Linked DNA regions of Coturnix japonica. The protein of the gene in region 1 binds, or shares a complex with, the protein of each later gene. Links are inferred from orthologs where the notes say so. Each region holds a gene or a part of one and is shown in the gene's direction. Other genes may lie near its edges.

Region 1 (4,431 bases):
TGTTTGTTTGAGAAAGATTTCTATTTTTGAAGTCTTGTGGTTTGAAGATTGTTGTTATGCATCCAGTCTGATTGTAAAGCTATGAATTAAGTCAATTCTTTTCATGTAAGCCTCCATATGCAGGGAATCTGTATCAAGACTGGTTGTGCACAAGAAAATGGATACAGTGATGACTACCAGATATTGCAATCTTCTCTTTGGAATGGATACACAATAACAAAGCACTGGTGTAAAAATGTATCCTGAAAACACACGGAAAAGACCATTGAGAGATGACCTATGCCATATATACAGCCATTACCAGAAAATATTATGTGGGTCTTGCTACATGAGGTTAAAGTGTATCATTATTTGGAGGCACTGAAGCTTTACAAGTTTAAGATGCAAGCTTTAAGAACAGAACATAAAACTACAGGAACAAACTACCCAGGGAAACACTGAAACTGGTGGTTTCAGATCAGGGTTGTATGCCTTTCTAGAAGACAGTCCGCAGCTAAAATCTAATTACTGGTCTCAATTCAGGCAAAAATAAATAAATAAAAGCAAATGGGAAAGAAAAGGAAAAGATGAAGGTGTAGATGAAAATTATCAGCTTGAAGGATGCAAGAAAACATTAAATGAGCAGTCTCTAGTATTCCTTAATGCTTATAGAGGTCTTTATAATGCATTAAGTATGCTGAACCTCTCAACACACTGTTGTTTAGGCATACTAGGTCAGTTTTGATGCTCTTTGAATCTATTTCCAGCTGATGAGATTAAATGCTCCATGCAGTCCAAATTCTCTGGTGTGGGACTGTGTTGCTCTGCTTGGTTGTGATCTTCAGAAGAAGCATGTCTTGCGCACCTGCATGCCCTGGTAGCCAGAAGAGTAGTGAAGAGCCACACATAATTCAGGTCAACTGTATTGACCTCATTGCAGCCTTTCAATACTTGAAGGGAACTTACTCCCAGGAGGGGAGTAAACTCTTCAAAAGGGCTGACAATAGCAGGACATGGGGAAATTGTTTTAAGTTAAAAGAGGGAAGATTTAGGTTGGATGTTAGGGGGAAGTTCTTCACTAGGAGAGTGGTTAGGCCCTGGAACAGGCTGCCCAGGGAGGTTGTGGATGCCACGTCCTTGGAGGTGTTCAAGGCCAGGTTGGACGGGGCCCTGGGCAACCTGATCTAGTAAATGTGTGTGTTTGGTGGCACTGCCAGGCAGGGGGTTGGAACTACATGATCCTTGAGGTCCCTTCCAACCCGGGTCATTCTGTGATTCTGTGACAGGGCTTAGGGCCTACAGTCGGGGCCTATTTGTCCTGATGGCCGTGGAGGGATATTAAGGCTCAGCAGCACAGCTGCGGGGGGGCGGGCGGATGATCGGGCCTCTGCGGGAACGGCCGAGGGGCTGCGGGAGAGGGCAGGGCCGCTGCGGAGCTGCCTCCGCTCGGCAGGGGGCGCCACAGCCACGCCCGCTGCCGCCCGCGGGGGCGCGGGAGCCACCCCGGCGCATGCGCGCTGCAGAGGCGGCGGCTGCAGCGGCCTGAAGAGCCCCGCGGGGTGAGCGGGCGGCGGCGGTGGTAGTTGCGGTGGTTCGGCGTGTCGCTGGGCGGCCCTGATCGCGCGCCACGATGCCGGCGGTGTCGAAGGGCGATGGGATGCGAGGCCTGGCCGTCTTCATCTCCGATATCCGGAACTGTGAGTGGCGGCTGAGGCGCGGCGGGGCCTGGGCTGAACGGGGCCGGGCCGGCGGTCGTTGGGGGCTGTTGTGCTTCGGGTCGGGGCGTTCGTCCCTCATCCGACTCCCCTGTCACCTCCCCGGTGCTTTTCCCTTCTCCCTCCCTCGCAGCGAGCCGCTCTCGGTGATCTACTCACGAAATGGCGACGCGCCCCAGGGGGCGGCGGGAGATGCGGGGGGGGGGGGGGGTGATGAGACAGGAGGCTTTCCATGCGGGAGTGGGGGTTATTTGCGTGTGTATATCGTCGGTTCGGTGCTTCCTTCTCCCCCGCGGTCCCATTTGTTGGGGGAGACAGAGAGAGGAGGTCGATGCCCATCGTTGGAGTGAGGCCGGGGTGGGTGGGTGGGCTTGTGCCGTGCCGCGGGGAGCATCGCGGGTCTCCCTGACCTGCCGGCGGCTGGCGATGCTCAGAGGCACCGTAGGAAAGCAGCAGGCCTCTGCTGGGCCTTCGCTGGCTGTGTTTACGCTTGGCTTAAGCCGCCTTTAAAATTCTGGTTTGACGGAAGACAGCTCTTGGGATTTGCTCAGTAAAAAAAAAAAAACGGATAAAGAGGGCTGCCGGTAGGTGCCCCCTAAGGGATGGGGATGCGACGTCCTTGTATAGGGCATTCTATAGGGAGAGGAGGGGGAGGAGGCTGCTGCTTGGAGGGGGTTGTGGAGGCTAGGGGGTACTTGGCACCCTCCCCTGCCGTGGGAATGGCAGGTGAGAGTAGGTTAATATTAATCTGAGTTAGAGATCTAAGTGTGCAATGTGGCAAGAATTGCCTGGGGAAGGGCTAAGGTCGCTGTGGTTGGTGTGATGAAACGGCTATATGTTTTGTCCACCGGTGTGTCTCTAGGCGGCTATTCTAAAAGGATTGGCACCAAAGTCTCCACTCTGAAGGATGGAAGTGGATTTGGTGGCTGTTCAGAGTGCAAGTTATGGTGCTCTGGGCTTGTATTGGGATAACCAAACTGGCTTGGAGAAGGCTCCTGCTTCAGAGGGCTTTGTGTTGATGGCTTTGGAATTATTCCAGGAGTAACAGAAAAGGCTGCAGAGCAAATTCAACCAATGACATGACACCTCTTAGATGTGCAGTTTTATTCAACTAAATTCAGGTGATTTGGACTTACAGTCATGTAAACAGGAACCGTTGCATGTAAATTTAAGGTCCTGGATCTTCTTAACAGCAGAGGTTTTCTGAACTGAGTTGCAAATCCTTGGATACCTCCTGTAAGCCGCCTTCTGCATGTACAGAACATGTTCATCAGTTCAAGACAACTTTGGTGCTCTTGAGCTTTTTCTGGTTGACCCAGATGTTTCCTGGAGATCTGCAAGTATATTACTATGTTATGCCTGCTACATTTGTAACAGTTTCACCTTGTCATCCAATTTATGCCTGTCATTCTTGTAACTGTTGTTTTGGGATGACTTCTTTCATCTCTTTGGCTAGAAGCACTATGGTTTCTGTTCATCAAATATCTCTTACGTCTTGCTATTGCTTAACACGTTTCTCCTCTCTTATATTCACTTCTATTGGATTTCTCTGAAAACAAGAAAATAGTCAAGCTCTGGGGGTACCTAGCCTATGTTAAAGGATGTGGAATAAGAAGATTGGAGGTAGAAGGATAGAACAAATTAGCTACTGATTTCCTCACAGACTTTCCATTTTGTAAGCAGCGCAGGAATGGATGGAACAACCATCTCTGTTCGATTTGAGTAACAAACCATTCATGCTAGCAGTGTCTGCAAGAGTAGCAAAGATGTAACTAATTTGTGAAACAAATAAGGTGTTAACCCTTTATCGTTCAAACCTACGAAGATGGTTCTGGATTGTTTTGTCTCTGTTGAGGCTGCAATTTGTAGGTTGTAATTACCCCTCTGTATCTTTCTCATCTTCATAATGAAGGTAATGCATCTTCTAAATCTAAATAGTTGTGAAAGAGCTGGTATTTCCCACCAGTAGGTGATCTGTGGTAGCTATTCAATGGCATCTGAATCTTTACTGTTTAGAGAGATTTAAGTGTTGCTGGTTAACCATGGGCTGTTGTATCTAAGATTCCCAAATATACTTAAGAGCACTCTCTAGAAACGTTGTGCTTTACAAGCACTGGTACTGGCTTGAGTTCCACCTTTCCCTTTTCAGAGCAGATATTTGTCGAGAACAAAAAGAAACCGCTGTTCAGTTAAGCAAGATCTTTTGACATGCGAAATAAGAAAATGTTCCTGTTCTGGATGGGAGGGAAGCTGGACACCAAGTGCAGCTGACACTTGTACTGATGTGAAAAATACCTGCTGGCAGTCCCAATTTTCATCTTACTTTTGGCTTTGACTCATTTATCTCTTCTGTAATTCTGCCATATATGACTGAAGTTTGAATTTGTCTGCAGCCCCTTCAGATTATAATGTAAGACTCTTTCTGAAAGACTTTACACAGATAGAGAATTTGCATCGTAGTTGTTGCTGAATATTGAAAATGTAGATATATGTGAACTGTGCTTAGGTGGATGCAGAGCATGTTTCCAAGGTAACAGCATAAAACTTTCAAGAGACGCTTACATAAATTCAGAGCTTTTCTTTTTAGAAATGCTTCGTCATGCAGCAACTTTTATTTCTTGGGCATTTGTACCTACAGTGTCTGTGGCTCTAAACAATGTATCATTCTGTTACAAGTATATTAAATTACTGATCTGGGAGTAATGCCTGTCTTGTCTATCCATTTTTACAAGTCCAT
Region 2 (3,650 bases), on another chromosome or scaffold:
ACAGCATTAGGAACTGCTGCATCTACTGAGTGCACAACAACTGCCAACAACTGGGCAGACTTCAGTTCAACGTATGTTTGGGTAGTGATTATCGCCTCAAGTGTGTACTTTTTAATTGACTGGACTATGATAAGTAGTTAAAACAAAGTACACAGATTGCAAAAGAAAAATGTTTTGTAACATATTACAAAGTAAATTACACTATATATATATATATATATATATATATATATTATTACAAAGTAACGTATTACAAGTAAAATATTTTTCTGTAGTAAATAGTTACAATTGCAGCCTTGTAAAACTAGAATCATTCTCCTATCCTATCTAGGCAGATAATACACATTTTCATGTTTTTCATATAAAATTAGTAATGCTGTCCCTGACATGAAAAGAGTTTTGTTAGTTATCGCCTTTTGGCACTATTATAGTCCAGGTGTACAACTGATTACTCAACTAAGAGCACATGAAACAGGCAAAGAAAGCAGGCAGAGAAGATTTAAGTTGGATTATTTTCTTATACTCCTTGAGTTCACTGAATTTTGATAATCTAAGAGGGTACTTTGAGGCAGAGATATAGATCATGAGACTTGTTGGACATTTTAAAATATAAGAGCATAAAGAGGATAAGAAGTAGTGTTAAAACTACCTCTAGAGTTAAAAAAGTCAGTAGAAAATAATTTTAAGCAAAAGAAAAGAGTTAAAGATTTGAAGTAGCATTATGAGGCATAACACAGAGGCATGTGAGAGCCATCAGTGACTGTATGTAATATAGATTGCAGTACTTAACATTTTCATTGTACTGGGGCACACCTAAACAATGAAACTAAATTACAGAAATGGTTGGCCATAAATAAGCACCAATGAACAATTAACTATTCTTAGAGATTGCCTTATAGAAATATATTTATTGTAACACTTTCTTTGTTTGCATAACCTTCACTGCAGAGTTAAGCTGCTAATCACTCATGGAATATTGAATTACAAGAAATAGACCAAGAATGTTGAATTTATTTATTTGCACATGAGCATTTTTACTCCCCTGAAAACAGTAGGAATAATGTAATTCACTTATTTTCAGATGGCCAGCAAACACTAATGAGAAACCAGAGACAGACAACTGGGATGCCTGGGCAGCTCAGCCGTCTTTGACTGTTCCCAGTGCAGGGCAGCTGCGGCAGAGATCAGCCTTCACCCCTGCCACTGTTACAGGATCGTCTCCCTCTCCTGTATTGGGTCAGGTGAGCAGCTGTGTTCACTGGAACTGTTCTGAGCCAGCATGAACTTCTGGATAGCAGAGAGAATATTTACAATTGAAATCCTTCCCTGAGTGTGCAAACTATGACAGTTTAGAGTGATAAAAGTATTAGAATACACCCATTAACAAAGTCAGTGGCAGAATCTAACACAAACAAGCAGCTGTTCTTCTGCAGTTCTTTGCTGGCTTTTTTGAACTACAGTGGTCCCATCTTAAAATTTTGGCTGGGTGCTACTTTTGAATCACTTCCTTTGGGCTTTATTAAATCACATGGCAACAGTGTTTGTTCCAGAGTGGATTATATGGTTAAGTGGTGTAGATGAGATTAAGCTTCACATAAGATGAATTCAGTCCATCTGTAAGAGACTGTGCTTTCCTCAACTTGGCTCATCGTTCTTGTAAGCTAATGTGTTGTTCTGATAAATGCAAAATACCTAAGTGTCTTTGAGCAAAACTAAAAAGTAGGAATATGCAATGTATTACTAGCAGCAAAGCATAGTTTTCCATAAAATTTACTTCAAACTCTTTCAAAATAACTTTGTCACGGTTTATTGTATCTATATCTTAATTGTTGAACTTACGAAGAAGCAAACTCCCAAATAGTCTTGCATTGTAGAGATTACACATTAACAGAAAGAAATGTAGGAGGGCTGTGGGCGTTTCTTGTATTACTTTGTAATTTTGACTGACATATTTTGCTTTATACAGATGAGAAGTCACCATATTTTGGGGCTATATAGATTGTATAAGAATGTAACTCCTTAAGAAGCTGCCTTTATGAAAAGTGTTGCAAGGCTGAATTCTCTCTCTTTTTTCTCTAAATTGCATTAGGGTGAAAAGGTGGAGGGACTTCAAGCACAGGCTTTGTATCCTTGGAGAGCAAAAAAAGACAACCACCTTAATTTTAACAAAAATGATGTCATCACAGTTTTAGAGCAGCAAGATATGTGGTGGTTTGGAGAAGTTCAAGGACAAAAGGGGTGGTTTCCTAAGTCATATGTGAAGCTTATTTCAGGCCCCATTAGGAAGTCGACAAGGTATTGTATATGCTTATACTGTACTTTACTTCAATACTATTTTGGTTAAATTAATGTGAAAAGTTGCTCACTTGAGTTTTAAAGTTTTGATGTGACTCTTCTCTGTTAGGTTTTTATTCCCGTCTCTGAAAATTCAGATGAGGAATATGTAAGCTGACCTCATTTCTCCTTGTACTACGCACCACCACCAATAGACCTAAAGCTTAATCAGCAGTCTTAATTAAAAGTCGCTTGCAACTAAGAAATTACTATTTTGACATTATGAGTTATAGCTGCATAAGTTTCAGCTTATCTTTTTCTCAGAATAAAATACAATACATCAGAGCTTAATCACTTATCATTATTCTTGGAGGATGAAACAATTAGAATCTAGTTCTGTGAAAGGTGAGGTCAGCATTAACATCACTGATACTGATTAGAATGTTTTTAGATTTTTTTCTCTTCTGACGGATAAGGAGAGGCAACAAATGGTGTATTCCATGCAGTTACTTAATTATAACTACAACTAGCCATCATACTTTAAAGATGTAATTTGTAAGTTTACTGTTTATTAGAAAATTTAGGGAATTGCTTAAGGATACATGTATGTGTTTTATTTTTAACATACATTAAGCATCTTCTGAAGAGATTTAATTTCTTAAATAACTGTTATTCTCTTGTAAAGCATGGATTCTGGTTCTTCAGAAAGTCCTGCTAGTCTGAAAAGAGTAGCATCACCAGCAGCTAAAGCAACTATGTCAGGTGAAGGTAAGCATTCCAGACTGGATGGCATTAGCACTATTTTACTATGTGATTAAATGTAAGCAGTCTGTGTATTAGCAAAATATGAGCCCAGGATCAACAAAACAGGCTTGTTTTAATATCAGGCTTGTAAAAATTTGTGTATGTTTTATATGCAGAAACAGTATTTGAACATTTCTTCTACAGTTTATAGTGTTCCATATGTAAATATTTTGGTATCAGTTCAGTTCCCCGTGGAACTGTTTAGAATGGATTTTTGCAGAGGGCCAGGAAAACACTTTCATGCTGTGTTTATTTGTAATTCATAGGTAATTCATGATGCGAGGAATTATTAATGAATGTCTCAGTTTCACTCAATACTCATTTCCACTGTTCCATTAAAGCTCTCTGTAACTGATGGTAGTTTCCTTATTTGAAAGTTGTGATCTGTATGGTCAAAGCTACCCCTCATTTTTAAGGACAGAGCATATGGGGTGCAGACAGATAGATAATTGTCAGGTCTCCGGAGGATTTTAAAAGACTTGTATTCTTGCTTGTTACCACTCTTCAACTGGAGGTTAATGTCTCCATACAAGTTGCGGTGACAGACTGTGGGCACTCTAATCCACTTCAGT

The links.
Region 2: the proteins of AP2A2 (region 1) and ITSN1 are in contact, whole or in part, in a crystal structure (PDB 3HS8), measured with the Mus musculus proteins. The link is inferred for Coturnix japonica from reciprocal best matches to the Homo sapiens genes AP2A2 and ITSN1. Residues at the interface, in XP_006536218.1 of Mus musculus: Glu308, Gly320, Val321, Glu324, Gln329, Gly331, Leu332, Lys333, Phe346, Gly348, Asn349, Lys350, Gly386, Ala387, Gln388; in NP_034717.2 of Mus musculus: Asn841, Trp843, Ala844, Phe846, Ser847, Ser848.

The regions. Positions count from the first base shown.
Region 1 is NC_029520.1:9,441,439-9,445,869, forward strand, and holds the start of AP2A2 (AP-2 complex subunit alpha-2), read left to right. Parts: upstream 1-1,488; 5' UTR 1,489-1,609; coding exon 1,610-1,676; intron 1,677-4,431. UniProt on the Homo sapiens protein: Component of the adaptor protein complex 2 (AP-2). Adaptor protein complexes function in protein transport via transport vesicles in different membrane traffic pathways.
Region 2 is NC_029516.1:94,931,917-94,935,566, forward strand, and holds part of ITSN1 (intersectin-1), read left to right. Parts: coding exon 1-71; intron 72-1,081; coding exon 1,082-1,241; intron 1,242-2,089; coding exon 2,090-2,295; intron 2,296-2,959; coding exon 2,960-3,042; intron 3,043-3,650. UniProt on the Homo sapiens protein: Adapter protein that provides a link between the endocytic membrane traffic and the actin assembly machinery. Acts as a guanine nucleotide exchange factor (GEF) for CDC42, and thereby stimulates actin nucleation mediated by WASL and the ARP2/3 complex.